Linked DNA regions of Callithrix jacchus. The protein of the gene in region 2 interacts with the protein of the main gene of each other region in a pairwise test. Links are inferred from orthologs where the notes say so. Each region holds a gene or a part of one and is shown on either strand. Other genes may lie near its edges.

Region 1 (4,112 bases), on a different chromosome or scaffold from region 2:
GGATGCAGACGCCGTGCTGGCCACAGAGTGGAGCACAGGAGCCCCCAGGCTCTTGCGCTTCTTGGCTTTTTTGTGCTGTTTGGCAGATGATGAGACCTCACTCTGGCTACCCTCTCGCTCCTCCTCCTGCAGCAGCAGCCTGGGTGGCAGCTCAGCTTCAGCCCTCAGATGGGCATGGTGGCCTGGGAGGCTGAGGGACCTGAGCCAGGGACAAGAAACTTGAGGAGCCAGGCTCCAGCCCTGGCCCAGGGAATAGCCCAGCCTGCCCACCACCCCAGGGCTCAATGCCTGCCTGGTTCATGGTCAGTGAGGCCCCAGGCCCAAGAGAGGCTTAGAGCCAGGTGAGCCCAGTCCCCTACAAACCCTGAAGCCCCCTCTCTCCTGCCGCTCCCTACACAGGGGTAGTAGGGGGAAGGTCTTCAGGAACAGAAAGAGAGGGGAGTGAGGGTAGTACTGGTGGACACAAGAATCACACTTGCAGGAGTGCAGGATTTAGGAATCCTACTGGAGTGTGAGCCCCATCCCTGGGCCTGCAGCTCCTTCCCTCCGAGAGCCCCCTCACTTGACAGGCTTCCTCTTTGGACCATGATGGGGCCTTACAGAGACCACGGGCCTGGGGCCTCTCTCCTCTAGTGCCCCAGCCTCCGGCTTGGGCCTCTCTTCCCCCAGTTTGGGTCCTTCCTCCTGGAGCTCCGGCTCTGAGGAGGCTCCTGCTGGGGGCTGGTCTTCACCATGGGTCCCACCGGCCTCATGGGCTGGCACCAGGAACTGGTCTCCCGTCACTGGACACTAGAGGTGACACACAGACCATCTGTCACCATGGCCGGGCAAAAGATATAGGGATCAGTCACTGAACACCTAACATTAGACACCGAAACAGCCTGTGTGCCTCTCCCCTCCTGGAGAGCCCAGCCAGCCAGTTAGGGAGTCGGGGCGCTCAGAGTTCCACCTCTCAGAGCTCTACGGCTCCGTGTTTGAATGCTAAACAGCCTGATGGTCACCTCAGAGGTCTGAGCGCGGCCAGGGTCCTCCGCGAGCAGTGCCTGCCCCACGACCGTCGCCTCCTGGAACCCCGGCCGCCTCTCCGCCCCTGCCGAGGCCATGGCTCCGCAGGCTCAGTGCATCCTCGTCCTGGGGCGGACCCGAGGGGTTGGATGGTGGCCCTGCGCGGACCCCGGAGACCGGCCAGCAAGCGAGCACAAAACTGGGAAGCGAGACCGGCGGCCACCCTCGGCCGAAACTACAAGCCCCAGGAGGCTTTGCGCCAGGGTCAGTGAGCCCTGACCCCGGGGACGGAAGCCACGGTTGCCCGGCAACAACAACTCCCGTCGAGTGGCTACAGCTGGCTGCAAAACCGCTCGAGTGATCCCCTGCCCGAGTGCCGCGGGGGGTGGGGCGCGAGCGGGACCGGGAAGTGGGCTGGGAGCAGAGGTCGTGGAGGCGACAAACGAGGCCGAGGTCGGGGCGGGGACTGGGAGGGTCCTGGGACGGGCGGCCCTCCTTGGTCCAGGTTAGGGTCAGGGTCCCGGACTAGGGAGGAGGCCTGGAGCTGGGAAGGGGGCCCAGGGAGGGAGGTATAGAGCTCGACAGGACTCGGAGCCCCTTTGAAGGGCGGCGCCGGCGGCATGTGCGAGGGCCCGTCCCGTATCTCCGGGCCCATCCCCCCAGACCCGACGCTTTGCCCTGACTACTACCGGCGGCCGGCCTCTGGTGAGTACGGGGGCGCGGCGGTGGCGAGAGGCTCGGGGGTCGGCCTCGGCTCCACCTCTGAGCCCCGCATTCCACCCGGCTCCACCCCACACGCAGCTCAAGGACGACTAGAGGGGAACGCGCTGAAGCTGGACTTGCTGACCTCGGACCGAGCCCTGGACGCCACCGCTCCCCGTGGGCCCTGCATCGGTCCCGGCGCCCGAGAGATCATGGAGCGCCGCCGGCGTGGCGTCGGCGACGTGCTGTTGCAACTTGAGGGCATCTCCCTAGGTCCTGGGGCCTCTCTCAAGAGTAAGTCCCAGGAAGAGAAGAAGGGGCAGAGAGACAGTTTGGGGTGGAAAGACATCAAAGCAGCTGCCCTTTCCCCCCTGACCTCGGCCCAGGCTTTGCTCTCTTGAGTCTCAGTTTCCCCAACCATAAAAAGGGGGAGAAATGTGCTACCTTCTCGGAGGGGAACTGAGTGAGGTAGTTCCCACAAAGTCCTAGCTCTGCTTCATGCATTTATTACCCGTCAAACTTGTGTGCCAGGCCATATAGGTGCTAGAACACAGGGTTGAAGACAAGCATGATCCATCGAATCAAGGTGGGAGACAAAGAACAGGAGATGAATGTCATGTATGAGATAATTAATAGTATACTTCACTGTAATAATGGAGAAAAACAGCTGGGAGCAGTGGCTCATGCCTGTAATCCCAGCACTTTGGGAGGCCGAGGCGGGCGGATCACTTGAGCCCAGGAGTTGGAGACCAGCCTGGCCAACATGGTGAAACCCCATCTCTGCAAAAAATACAAAAATTAGCCCGGTATGGTGGAGTATGTCTCTAATCCCAGCTATTCAGCAGGCTGAAGTGGGAGGATCACTTGAGCCAAGGAGGTTGAGACTGCAGTGAGCTGTGATCATGCCACTGTACTCCAGCCTGGGTGACAGAGTGAGACCCTGTCTCAATTAATGAGAAAAATCATCACGAGATACTAAATACGTGAGGAAGGGAACACGATGATGAGGCAGACGAGAGGTCGGGGGCTCTTTCTGTAAGGGGCGGAGGACAGGCCTGTGTGTGAACTGGTGGAAATTGGATTGTGTGGGCCATATGTAGGGCAGAGCCTTGCAGCATCTGTTCTCTAGGGAAGGACCCTAAAGACCATGAGAAGGAGAACCTGAGGCGGATCAGGGAGATTCAGAAGCGCTTCAGAGAACGGGAGCGCAGCCGGGAGCAGGGCCAGCCTAGGCCCCTGAAAGCTCTGTGGCGTTCGCCCAAGTACAACAAGGTGGAGTCCCGCGTCAAGGCCCAGCTGCAGGTACCTGCCTCAGGGCACCGGATGTATTAGTCATTTTGTTGGCCAACAGGCAACTAACTATATTCTGATCTGGGGAGGGAGGAAAGTCACAGAGGTAACAGAGGACTAAGAGACCCTGACTCTGCTGCAGGGCAGGACTGAGGGGGGCCTTCTCAAAGTCATGATGGGGGGAGCTGATCCTAAGGGGCAAGCAGCAGTTATGCAAGGGGACAGCAGTAGAGAACATTCCCAAAAGATGGAACCTCCCCAACCACAGGACACATAGCAGTGGAGATGCTAGGTACAGGACACATAGCAGTGGAGATGCTAGGTACAGTTCAAAGGCGTGAGGTTAGACCAAGAAGTCAGCCGGACCCACATCATCAAGGGCCACATTAACCACTTTCAGCCTTTATTTCTGAGGACAGTGGGAAGGGCAGAAGTATGGTGGGGGGTGCTCTGTCTTGGGTAGAGAGCAGCACCATCCCTCCATCCAAGGACTCAGCAGGAGGAGTAAGAGTGAGAGGAAAGGCAAGGTCACACGAATGTGTCAGGGCTGAAGCATCTGTGGCGCTCCCAGGGGGTGGGAGTGTATCCAGGAAGCAGATGGAAATTCAGGACTGGATCTGAGGAGTAAGACCTAGGAGTTACTGTCAGGTTGAGGACAACGAGACCAAGGAAGTGACCGCCTGGATTTGAGGACTTGGAGGCCAGCCATCAGGAACTTTGGGGGACTAGAGCCGGAAGCTTGGCTAGGAAGGAGGGGAGAGAGTGGTGGCTGGCCCAGTACTGAGGTAGAAGGAGAGGTGGTTACTGTTTTCTTAAAAATCTGATATCCACACGTTTATGTGCTGATGAGGACAAGTGTCCCTTGAGGAGGGAAGATGCCCCGAGGGACATGGATGCAGAGGTCAGAAGGGCCAAAAGAGCCAGAGTCCTGAGGTTTCAGCCCCAGACCTCAGCCTGCTTGCTCTCTCTGCTGTGCCCTGCCCTCCAGGAGCCTGGCCCTGCCTTTGGGACAGAGTCTGCCCACTTCCTGCGGGCACACTCCCGCTGTGGCCCTGGCCTCCCACCACCCCGTGTTTCCAGTCCCCAGCCAACCCCACCAGGTTCTGAAGCTAAGG
Region 2 (3,510 bases):
CTCACTGGCACCCCCTGAGGTGGACTTTGACAGGCTGCTGGCCAGCCTGAAGGATCTTAGTGAGCTGGTGGTAGAGGGTGACACCCAGGTGACACCAGTGCCTGGTGGGGCGCGGCTTCGTACCCTGGAGCCCATCCCGCTGAAGCTCTACCGGAATGGTATCATGATGTTCGACGGGCCCTTCCAGCCCTTCTGTGATCCCTCCACACAGGTAGGAGTGGTGTAGGGGGCAGTGTGCTAGTGCCCCTGTTCTCCACTGTTAGTTGGGGATGATGGAGCCAGCTCCCCCCAGGCCCAGCCTGCCCTCCACAGGGCACCCAGGCCAACGCACAACCTGCAGAGGTCCCTCCCCAAGCCCTGGGACTCAATGTTTCCAGAGGGTGTGACACTGGGTGACTCCGGATCCAGGGACTGGCATCCAGACCAGTGGCAGGGCAGGGTGGGTGCAAGCCCCAGGCTCCCCCTTCACTTTTCCTCTCCCCTTACAGCGCTGCCTCCGAGACATACTGGATGGCTTCTTTCCCTCAGAGCTCCAGCGACTGTACCCCAATGGGGTCCCCTTTAAGGTGAGCTGCCCCTCAAACTATACCTTTGGAGATTTGGATGGAGTGGGGATACACAGCCTCACGAAGCAACTCCCATTCTGAGGGGAAGCCACTGCGCCCCCTGGGGGACCCCAGTCTGATGCCTTCCAGGAGGATGAGCCTGAAGCCCAGCTGGGAAGGGAGTGGAGAGGCTGGGCAGCAAGCAGCGCCCTCTGCTGGCACTGTGGAGACAGCCTTGGCTGCGGGGCCACTGCCTCCTAGTCCTCCCCAGCATTCAGGACACCTTGACAAGCTGCAGTCCCTGCAGAAGTGGCCCGGCTTCCCTCAAGCCTCCTGAAGCTATCTGGGTAGGGTGGGAGGCAGGGCTGTGAGCCACAAATGCAAAGCAGAGGGGACAGATGTTGGGACTCAAGGACAAGGTAGAGCGGGCCTGTGGGTAGGTGCCACCACCAGAGCCCATGAGACTATGTGTTCCAGTGGGTGGTGGGTTAGTGCCGCAGTGAGGGCACGTCAGGGAGGGAGCATGTTGCCACCAGGGCTCAGGAAACAGCATGAGTCATGACTGGGGGCGTTGAAGGCATCTGTGCCACCATGGGGGCCTCGTAGCTATCCCTTGATGAGGCAAGTGAGGTGCCGTGTACGATGATGGGGTTTGTGCTGCAGACTGGACAAAAGCAGGGGCTTCGTCCTCTCCTGACCCCCTCACACTCTGTTTTCCTGGTAGGCTCCTGAGATGGGGGTCTCTGAGGAGGGTGTCAGTACTGCAGATTCAGCTAGTGTGGATGGGTGCTTGTAGGAGCAGCAGGGTCCAGGGAGGTGACATTAGAATGAACTATGGCTCTCCTGAGGCCTGGGTTTCCTCATCTTTAAAATGGGGGTTGCATTAGACCATACCCTGGCATGTGTTTGGGCAAATAGCAATGAAAGTGCGGCCAAGGGCTGAAGAGCTGAGCCCGCTGCTGTCTCCCTTCTTTCTTGCCAGGTGAGTGACTTGCGCAGTCAGGTCTACTTGGAGGATAGTCTGGATCCCTTCCCAGGCGAGGGCCATGTGGTGGACCGGCAGCGGATGCGCAAGGCCTTGGACAGGGTGGAGGAGCACCCAGGTGAGTTTGGCCTCCAGGCTGAGCCAGGGCCCGGGGAACCGAAGAACAAGCTCTAGGTGGGCTCCAGCACCACTCACAGTCCTTCCTGGGCCTTGGTTCCCAATGACCCCCCTGCAGGCTCCAGGATGACTGCTGAGAAATTTCTGAACAAGCTTCCCAAGTGTGTGATCTGGCAAGGCGAGGTGATTGACATCCGGGGCTCCATCAGGGATACCTTGCAGGTAAGGCCAACCCTGACTCGCCCAGCCCTCTTAAGGGAACTTTATCATCAGCCCTGGTCCAGCTGCCAGAGCAGTGTCCTATCTGGAGATTCAAGCTGGAGGCCGCTGATGAGTCCCTCAGAGCTGTTGCTCCACTGTCTCCTGGAAACTGTGAGGCTGGTGAGGGCAATGGCTGGGCCCCAGGAAGCAACTGGGTTTGTTGTAAGAGGGCTAAAGTCAGAGTCCAGGCCAGGGGCGAGCCCAGCACCCAGGCCACCCCATCAAGGTCTAAGCCAAAATATCCAACTCAGTACTGGGTACTCCCTTCGTGGTGGCCCTACAGGCCCCTCAGACTCTACCTGGCCCTCATCATTCTGTCTCCTCACTCCCTATCCTGCCTCTCCTTCTAGGTGTCCACCTGTGAAAGGCACCAAACCTGTTTCTCAGGCCTCCCTTACACATTGCTAAGTCCTGTCTGGTCTGTCCACCCCTAGAACTTCTCCCCATTAGCAGCACCCACCACCCTAGTCTAGGGTCTAGAGTGTCTCTCCCAGACAGCTGCCTCCGACCACCACTCCTGCCCCTGCTGACCATCCTCCAGGCTACCTTTCCTGTTGAAATCTTCCAGTGGTTCTTGGTATAAAGCCAGGTTCCTTGTGCTGGCACTCAAGGCCCATCCTACATTGCCAGGCCCCTCCTCATACCAGCTTTTTCCTTTCAGTCCAATTGATCCCCAGCTTCAGCCACACATACTGCTGGGAGTTGCCCAAATGCATCACCTCCTCTAGGAAGCTTCCCCTGACCCCAGGATCTTTGTTGATGCTGTCTGGAATATTCCTGCACCCATTCCACTTCTAAGAACTCGCACTCATCCTTCAGTCACAGCTCAGTTGTCATTTTCCAGGGAAAGCCTTCCCTGACCCCAGGCTGCCACAGGCTTCCAGCCTGGTCATCATCTGTCTCCATTAGACAGAGCATCCTTCCCCTTCCATTACCTCTCCTCTGGTCTTGGTTCATACAGAACACCCCCTCCCGCTTTGCTCACTGGTCTCATCTGTCCCTGGTCAAGGATGTGTCCCTCTAAGGATTGGGGGATGACTCAAATGGGGTCTAAGGCTCTGTTCCACCTCTGTTGATACCTTCTAGAACTGCTACCCATTGCCTGCCCGGATCCAGGAGATAGTGGTGGAGACGCCCACCTTGGCCGCTGAGCGAGAAAGGTGAGGGCAGGAAGGGGAGGTGAGGGCCTGGGGGTGTTGGGTCACTGGAAGCACTGATGGCCTCTGGGTTGTGCAGGAGCCAGGAGTCGCCCAACACGCCGGCACCCCCGCTCTCCATGCTGCGCATCAAATCTGAAAATGGGGAACAGGTCTTCCTACTGATGATGCAGCCTGACAACACCATCGGGGACGTGCGAGCCCTGCTATCGCAGGCCAGGTGGGGGCAGGGCAGGGCCGGGACCACAGAGGGGCTCTGGCCCCACGGCCCAGCCTGATCTGCTGTGCCTGGTCCCCAGGGCCATGGATGCCTCTGCCTTTGAGATCTTCAGCACATTCCCGCCCACCCTCTACCAGGACGATGCACTCACGCTGCAGGCTGCAGGCCTTGTGCCCAAAGCAGCACTGCTGCTGCGGTCACGCCAAGCCCCGAAGTCCAGCCTGA
Region 3 (3,957 bases), on a different chromosome or scaffold from region 2:
CTGTCCAGATTGAGAGGCACTTAAGTCAGCTTGCTAAGCTTCTGCCCAGGTATCTCCTCACCCTCTGAACTAGACCAATTCCTTGTGGGTAGGACCTTAGTTCAATTCATCTTTATACCACCACCATCAGACAGTGGCATAAAACAAATCCCTATTTAATGAATGGTCTCTAGAATCAAAGCAATGAGTGCCAAATAAGTGGTTTAGACAATAGTTAGGAAGGGGCCCAAAGTTAACGATACAGAGTAAAAAGCAAATGACATAGAATAGGGACAAAATCAGTATAGTTGTCTAGATCTGAAAACCATGTTTAACAAAGTCAGGACTGCAGTTTTTGTGATAGCATCTTAGGGTTTTACATATCAATAGGATCAATGGCAATGTGATCTAAGGACTTGGCAAGTCTACCCCTTCTCCACGAAAGCAATTACAATAAAAGGTTTCATTCAGAGAAGTTGAGTCTATACAGTAATGGAGAGTAGAGCTACTCTTTAATCTGAGCCCACTAGATTATGTACTAAGCTCCAGCCACTGGACTTCTAGGCTTCTGACAAACTGAAACATGTCCTCAGGAGCAATGTGGTAAAGAGTGAAGATTAGTAAGGAGAGTAACGTGGTAAAGACTCCAAATATACAGCAATGGCCTAAACACCACAGAATTTCTGAATGAAAAACAACATAAAAAAATAAAACTAGGGCCAGGAGCGCTGTTTTCAATTGCTAATTTCAAATGAAAGAAAGCTTGTTTTTCATTTTCTTTCCTGCAATGCTAGAGGGCAGATGTTAAAAGATTCTGGCTCAATGTAATAGTTAATAATTCAAAGTAATTAAGATGACCCAGGTTTTTCATTAAAGACATAAGGAAAAAAAAAGGCCAAATATAATTTTTGTCTCAAGGTGCTTGAACCAAGGTTACACCACAAACCTGGGAGAGCGCTTCCTGTTACTTAACCTCAGTCTCATTTTCCTTATCCATAAAGGAGATAACAAGATCCCCTTCAGAATTGTTAGAGTAGAAATAACATGAGACTGGGGGCGGTGGCTCACCCCTGTAATCCTAGCACTTTGGGAGGCCAAGGTGGGTAGACCTCTTGAGCCCAGGAGTTTGAGATCCTGGGCAACAAGGTGCAACTGTCTCTACAAAAAATACAAAAAAATTTAGCCAGGCAGGGTAGCACATGCTTGTGGTCCTGGCTACTCTGGAGGCTGAGATGGGAGGATTGCTGGTGCCCGAGAGGTCAAGTGGGCAGTGAGCTGTGATCACACCATTGCACTCCAGCCAGGGGTGACGGAGTGAGACTCTGTCTGTAAAAATATATTTATATGAAAAGTACCTAGCAAGATCCCTGTGGAAGTCCATTATTACCATTCTTACTGCAGACCCCCACATGATTTGGGTAGGCTTAAGCTAGATGACCCATAAAACGTCTTCTTAGGATGAAATTTGATTTGTTCAAATCAGTGGAGGAAGGGGAATAAGGGTCCCAGAAAGCTCCACTTAGGCAGGATTTGGATCTGAAGCTGGGTGTTGCACGGTTTACAAGAGAGATGAAATGGGGTGGGAGTGAGGGGAGAGGTTCGTATAGGATGGGCTCAGTTAAACAGCAGGATAGAGAAAAGACTTTCTCAAATAGCAGAGACATCTCGGCAGCCAGGAAACATTGCTGAGGAGCCATCTGCCTGGAGTGTTGGAAATCCAGTACTCCCTGAATTTGCACAGTACTCGCTGTATTGGAAAAAAACCCAATTTCCCGTCAATAGCACCAGGTCACAACCTAAACTAATAGTAATTCCACTTTACGGTTATATCGCAATAGTTAGCAATGTTCACAAGTATCTTTAAGCACTGCTGAGTGTGAGCTGACCCTTCTCACACCCCGGTGTGGCAGCAGGATACTATCCACTAATGTGGTTTAAGCAACAACGACTCAGAGACTGGGTAACTTTTCTGCAAACAGCTGGAAAGCGGTAAGTCTGAGACTAGAAATCCAGGTCTTCGGATGAAGAGACAGATTTACTAGAAGAGAGTAGGAGCATATTCTACCTCAAGATACAATCCTTGGAGGGGGATAAGTAAAAATACTTTTGCATTTTCTCTCTGTACCTCCAAACCGTTTGATGCTGAAACTAGGAACCGGAGAGGGCAACAAGTATACCTAGCTCTGGGCGAATGTGTAGGAAGATGGGAACCGGAGGGGGAGGAGAAAGAAAGTAGAGTCTCAGGAATATCATTCCTAAGCGAGCCTTCCACTGCGCCGAGCGCAGCAGCCACGTTACCTCCCTGCATCCGCTAAACTCTAAGACACAGGCTGTTACCGTCCCCACTCTGCAGATGAGAAAACTGAGGCTCAGAAGGGAGAGGGAGTGTGTGAGGAAAGCTAGATTCAAAGGCAGTGCGGCCAGACTGCGGAAACACCCAAACCGCCGAGGTCCCCACCCCTCCACGTCGCCGGCAACCCGCATCTTCGGGGCGGGGCGTCCGAAAATCTCCCCCTACAGGGCGGCACAGCCACCCCTTCCCCACGCCCAGCTCTTCGCCCTCGGTCCGGACGGCCCTGGGGTCCCAGGAACCCCTGTAGCCATCGCTCCCCAGCCCCCTCCTCCCCTCCAGCCCAGGCCAGGTCCGGCCGCTGCCGGATCCCGGGAGGGAAGCCGGTGCCGCAGGCTTTGCACCTCCTCAGCCCCAGTGGGGGCGGGAGCGGGGAACGGTTGGAGGAAGGGGCCCCAGGGGCGGCCAGGAGCCACTCACGCGTCGAACTTGTTGTTCATCCTCTCGCCGCCGCTGTCGCCACTGCCTCAAGGAGTGACTTCCGCTCCACCGGGTCCCTCAGCCTTAGGCCCGGCTACTTCCGGTTTTGCGCGAGGCGCACCGGAACGTCGGCGCGCAGGCCCGGCTGGGGGCTGCTATCCCGGGACGCCAGCCCGGGGCGGCTGCGCAGAGGGCTGGCCTAGGCAGCGGAGCTGACTGCTGGCTTCAGGTTTTTCCCAGTCCCGGTGTTTGTGAGCCGCCAGTTCTCCTAAGGGAGCATGTCCTGGCACCCTCCCGCAGCGGCTCGGAAAAAAGACAGCACCGCGGTCGTTGACGGCGCGGACTCTGGACTCGCTGCTTTGGTAAAAACCCTCCTCCTCCTCCTCCAGTGCGGGACGCACCCTCCGGCATCTCTCTTAACCTCCCCAAGGCTTTCCTTTGGCGGCGGCGCCACTCTATTATGGTATTCCTCGTTTTATTGCGCTTTGCAGATAGGGCTTTCTAAAAACAAATTGAGGGTTTGTGGCAGCCCTGAGCCCAGCAATTGTATCAGCGCCATTTTTCCAACTGCGTGTGCTCACTTTGTGTCTCTGTGTTACATTTTGGTAATTTTCAAAATATTTCAGACTTTTTCATGATTTCTGTGTCTGTTATGGTGATCTGTGATCAGTGATCTTTGATGTTGCTATTGTCATTGTTTTGGAGTGCCACATACTGCATCTTTTATATTTTATAAGACAGCGAACTTAATGTTGTGTGTGTTCTGACTGCTTCACCCACAGACTGTTCCCCATCTCCCTCTTCTTGGGCCTCCCTATTCCCTGAGACACAACAATATTGAGATGAGGCAAATTAATAACTCAGCAATGGCCTCTAAGTGCTCAAGTGAAAGGAAGAGTCGTACGTCTCTCACTTTAAATCAGAAACTAGAAATGATTAAACTCAGTGAGGAGGGTATGTCAAAAGCTGAGATAGGCCGAAGGCTAGGCCTTCTGCGGCAAACAGTTAGCCAAGTTGTAAATGCAAAGGAAAAGTTCTTGAAGGAAATTGAAAGTGCTACTCCAATGAACACACGAATGATAAGAAAGCGAAACAGCCTTATCGCTGATATGGAGAAAGTTTTAGTGGCCTGGTTAGAAGATCATACCAGCCGCGACGTTCCTTTAAGCCAAGGCCTAACCCAGAGCAAGGCCCTAACTCTGTTCAAC
Region 4 (4,083 bases), on a different chromosome or scaffold from region 2:
ACAAACACTTAATTTTTATATTAGCTACCACTTACAGGCACTTACTAAAAGCCAGCCTCTATACTTAAACTTGACATGTGCTAGTTTCTCATTCACTTCTCAGCACAGGTCTAGGAGACAGATTATGATGTAGATAGGGAAAATACGGCTGAGAGAAGGTAAATGATTTAACAAGGACACACAGGCATGAAATGGCAATGTTAGAATCCGAAATCAGATCCTTTGATATCAAAGGCTGTACTCTATCTGCTCTGCTATATTTAATATTCTGATTCTATACATACTCAAATAACAGCTGATTAATGCAATCAGTTGTAATATCTCTGATGGGCTTTACTTACCACCAAGTGAAGAAAAGCACCTTATAAAGAGCAACCCTAGAAATGGAATCTCATGTCCGAAGACCTTTATAACCTAGAAAATTGTACTGGGTTACAAACTTGGTGCCTTAAATAGGGCCAGAGTCTAACCAAACAAAAAGTGATTTGCATAATAAACCATAACAACCAGGTTATAGCAAAAATCCCGACTACAGAGGCTTATTTTATCCATTTGGAAGATTTCATTTGACTAGACAAAGTATATGGGATCACAAGCATTGCTGTTCGTGAAATTAACAATATAAACAGGAAAATGTTAACAGCTCAAATTAAACACAGGGAAAGCAATTCTAACATTCTAACGTAGCTAATTTTATTTTCCCTCCATTTATTTACTCTATTCACTAAACATTTGTTCAACTGCATGTTGTACCATTATGATTTTAGACTGTAAGATCTTTCACGATGAAAGACCAAAAGCAAAAGAAGTGTTTCATTTGCCTGCATAGACTCTGGCCGGTAAGTTCTCCGTCAATACTTCTTATGAACAACGTCATCACTATTATAACTAGGGGTTTAATGGTATCTCTTAATTGAAAAGGCCTATTTTAAATTTTACCAAATTAACATAACTTTCTTCTTTAACTGAAAACTTATACGAGCAAATGATCTTTTCTTTCTGTTATATGAAAATTTGCATAAGAAATTTTTCTAAGTACATTTTACACATTTTTTAGAATGATGTGATAGTTTCCTATAGCCCTGATTCAGTTTTTTAATATTGCTGTTTAAATAAGAAATCTCACACAATGATAATTTGTATTTTTTCAGGCACTACACTTTCTTCTGTTACTAAATATAACATTTAGCTGAAACGTAGGTAACTCCAATACCACTAAAGAATCAGAGATTTTCAAATAAGATTAAAAGAAAACATTCAAAACATGTTATTGTATACTGAAAATACTTACATGTGTCAGGAAGCAAATTCCCTTTTCCTTTCATCAAACACTCAAGAATCAGACTACCATTTATCCACTTCACTACAATTTTGTTTAACTATTGCAAAAATTTTTTAAAAAGTTTTCCACGCAATATTAGTAATGTTCTGATTTATGAATTACTAAAACAAATGGCTAATACTTAAAGAGTATTTGCATTAAAATTAAAATTTTCAGAGCTCAAATAATAGTGCTATAAATGAGTCATTTAAAATTAATTCCCAGTCCCTGCCTTTTCCTCCACTTTCCAGAGGAACTATTTCTGAACTGTCCCAGTGAAAAGTATTTTTGCCTGTGTTGAGCTTTGAGGGTGTATTTTTAGAATACCAATATTACACTATCACCCACAGGGTAGGCATTAAAAAAAAAAAAAGCACTGCTTTTTGCTAGTGAAACTTAGTGACCCCATCCCTTGGAATTGGCACATTCAACTGTCAGCTGCCTACCAAGGGACAACCCACAGTCCTGAAGTGTACCAGTAAGTGCTCCACACTCCCACTGGGGCCTTTTATCTTCCCAAGAGTGTGCGCTGACGGGGCTATCCCCTGCCCAGTGAAACAAAAGACCAAAGATTTTCTCAAAAATGTTTAAAAATTCGACCCATGTAACGCTGACACTCCACACTCACGGAAGTGAGCAGAAGCAGGAGGAGGGAAAAAAGCTCCTTCAGCCCCGGCGTGGAGCAGCTGCTGTTCCTTACCCAGACGGGACAGTCGTGGACCACCAGCTTGACATTCCCAAACGCACTGGCCTGATACTCGGTGAACACGGGACGCGCGACCGTGCTGGCCGCGTTCAGCAGCAAGCTGCTCTCGTCCCCCGAGACCAGAGGGCTCCTCCCCAGGTAAGTGCGGATGAGCCCCGACGGCCGGCTGTCCTGGTGGAACGTGTCCCCCTCGTTCCCCAGCGCCACGATGTGGATGGACCTGCAAGGACAGAGAGGGGGCGAGGGGAGAAGGGAAGCGCGGTCAGCGTGCGGATCCGTCCTCGGAACAGGAAGTGCGGGGGGCCGCGCGCGGCCAGGATGGGCAGCAGCCCCTGTCCCTGGGGCGCACGGCACGCGCTGGAGACAGACAATGGCCGGACGGCGGCGCGTACGTACATGATTTCAAATCCAAGGGCAGGGCGGCGACCCGGAGAAAAGCAGCGGCTCACGGCCTCGCGTGGCCCCCAGGCGGCGAGTTCACCCGCAATCCGTTCATCCCCGGCCGCGTCCCCCTCACGCACCTCCACAGCGGCGGGGCCGACGCAGAGCGGGGCCGGGGCCGCGCCTGCCGGCTAGGAAACCGGGGCGTGGGGGCCGGGGCAAGCGGGCGGGGGGCGCGCTGCCGCCACTCAGGGAGCGCCCCGGAACATCGCCGGGCGTGAGGCCGCCGCGCAGCCCCGAGTGGACGCCGCTGACCGCAGTCCCCTCTCCGCCGCTCCTCCTCAGCCGGCAGCTGTCGCCTCCCGCTGCTGCTGCCGCTGCTCCTCCTCCTCCAGGCAGAGAGCGGGGGGGCGGGGGCAGTCGGGGAGATCGGTCGGGGCCTCCGCCCCCTCGGCGGACCGGGCGCAGCACGTGCCGGCCTTGGGGGTCGGGCGGACGCTGGGGGACGCGTTCCCGGCCGAGGCTCCCGAGCTCCGGCGTCGGCGGCCGGACACAAAGGAGCGGCCCGCGCGGGGCGTCGCGGAATATAAATTAATAAATACAAGGTCCCAGCTCGAGAGCTCCGGGCCGCCAATCCGCCTGCAGCAAGTTTGTTCAACTTGCAAGGCCGTAACCAGAGCCAGGAAAGAGGGGTGGGGCGATGGGGCCCCCGCTCACTCCGGACTGGAAAAAGAAGGTTAGGAAAGCGAGGGATTCCAGCCGGAGCGCCGCTCCAGCCACCCGAGTCCCCACGCTCTTGGCCTTGACCAAAAGTGCTTTACCGCGTCTGCCGCTTTGTCATTCGTCAACATGCGCTACAGCTGTTTTCTAAAATCACACTCAGGAGAAAAAATAAAGGCAACATTCATGCTGCCACAGAAAGGGTTCTTTGTTCACACACCAATTAATTTGCTAATGTCGCCTTGGGGGGATTATTTACTATTTCAAGCTATATTTAGCATATTCTACTGAAAACTTGAGGATTTTAAAGGCTGGGATTTTTAGTGTGATTTTTTTAAAAGGAAGTTACATATGGGGGTTTAATGTGTTGGTGAGTTAGCAGACCAACTGAAACAGAATGATCATGGGAATGCAAAGATACTTTAGACTGTTTCATAATAATGCACTGAAGTAAAGGTTATGAATATCCCCAACGTGCCTCAAACTACCTCAATACAAAGGAACACTGGAATCCACTTACTAACACAGAAATGGGCCAGGGATTGATTACTCTGGGGTTAGACTCCTCCATACAGTATTAAAATTCTTACCAGTACCCTACTCTGTTGAAAAGTGTTGCTTATCCTTTTTTCTATTAATTTTCCCCTTCTGTAAAATTGGACTTTATTTTCTCAACTGAGCTGTTTTGAGGGTATGAAAGGGGGGTTATTGAGTAAGGCAGTAAAAAAGACTAGGATAACAGCTGACTTGCTCAGTTGAAAGCAGTTTAATAGTTTCTCTTGCTCAGAGAGAATATAATGAGACATTCTTTACGTGGTCACTGATTTTTTAAAAATCTGATTTCCCTTTGCATTCTGTATGATTTCTCTTTTAGTCTCTAGAACCTAAACCATCCTTAAAAATTTCAGCATGCAGGATCACCTTTTATCTTGGGCTAATAGAAAATATATTTCTC

The links.
Region 1: the proteins of UBXN11 (region 2) and ENKD1 interact in binary tests that used the Homo sapiens proteins (3 or more experiments, as listed by UniProt). The two-hybrid records come from large-scale screens. The link is inferred for Callithrix jacchus from reciprocal best matches to the Homo sapiens genes UBXN11 and ENKD1.
Region 3: the proteins of UBXN11 (region 2) and EIF4E2 interact in binary tests that used the Homo sapiens proteins (3 or more experiments, as listed by UniProt). The two-hybrid records come from large-scale screens. The link is inferred for Callithrix jacchus from reciprocal best matches to the Homo sapiens genes UBXN11 and EIF4E2.
Region 4: the proteins of UBXN11 (region 2) and RHOBTB3 interact in binary tests that used the Homo sapiens proteins (3 or more experiments, as listed by UniProt). The two-hybrid records come from large-scale screens. The link is inferred for Callithrix jacchus from reciprocal best matches to the Homo sapiens genes UBXN11 and RHOBTB3.

Annotation. Positions count from the first base shown.
Region 1 is NC_133521.1:25,174,542-25,178,653, reverse strand, and holds the start of ENKD1 (enkurin domain-containing protein 1), read left to right. Parts: upstream 1-1,307; 5' UTR 1,308-1,625; coding exon 1,626-1,710; intron 1,711-1,806; coding exon 1,807-2,001; intron 2,002-2,836; coding exon 2,837-3,009; intron 3,010-3,371; exon of another isoform or gene 3,372-3,602; coding exon of another isoform or gene 3,603-3,614; exon of another isoform or gene 3,615-3,985; coding exon 3,986-4,111; exon of another isoform or gene 4,112-4,112. Other genes in the region: C20H16orf86 (uncharacterized protein C16orf86 homolog), read right to left, coding at 1-199, 563-789, 1,002-1,103. UniProt on the Homo sapiens protein: Microtubule-binding protein which regulates microtubule organization and stability. Promotes the stability of astral microtubules and facilitates the proper orientation of the mitotic spindle.
Region 2 is NC_133508.1:62,927,457-62,930,966, reverse strand, and holds part of UBXN11 (UBX domain-containing protein 11), read left to right. Parts: coding exon 1-211; intron 212-488; coding exon 489-566; intron 567-1,527; coding exon 1,528-1,648; intron 1,649-1,765; coding exon 1,766-1,869; intron 1,870-2,994; coding exon 2,995-3,068; intron 3,069-3,144; coding exon 3,145-3,285; intron 3,286-3,364; coding exon 3,365-3,510. UniProt on the Homo sapiens protein: May be involved in the reorganization of actin cytoskeleton mediated by RND1, RND2 and RND3. Promotes RHOA activation mediated by GNA12 and GNA13.
Region 3 is NC_133507.1:153,927,374-153,931,330, reverse strand, and holds the start of EIF4E2 (eukaryotic translation initiation factor 4E type 2), read right to left. Parts: upstream 2,806-3,957; 5' UTR 2,770-2,805; coding exon 2,750-2,769; intron 1-2,749. UniProt on the Homo sapiens protein: Recognizes and binds the 7-methylguanosine-containing mRNA cap during an early step in the initiation. Acts as a repressor of translation initiation.
Region 4 is NC_133503.1:114,855,675-114,859,757, forward strand, and holds the start of RHOBTB3 (rho-related BTB domain-containing protein 3), read right to left. Parts: upstream 2,806-4,083; 5' UTR 2,426-2,805; coding exon 2,424-2,425; intron 2,248-2,423; coding exon 2,022-2,247; intron 1-2,021. UniProt on the Homo sapiens protein: Rab9-regulated ATPase required for endosome to Golgi transport. Involved in transport vesicle docking at the Golgi complex, possibly by participating in release M6PRBP1/TIP47 from vesicles to permit their efficient docking and fusion at the Golgi.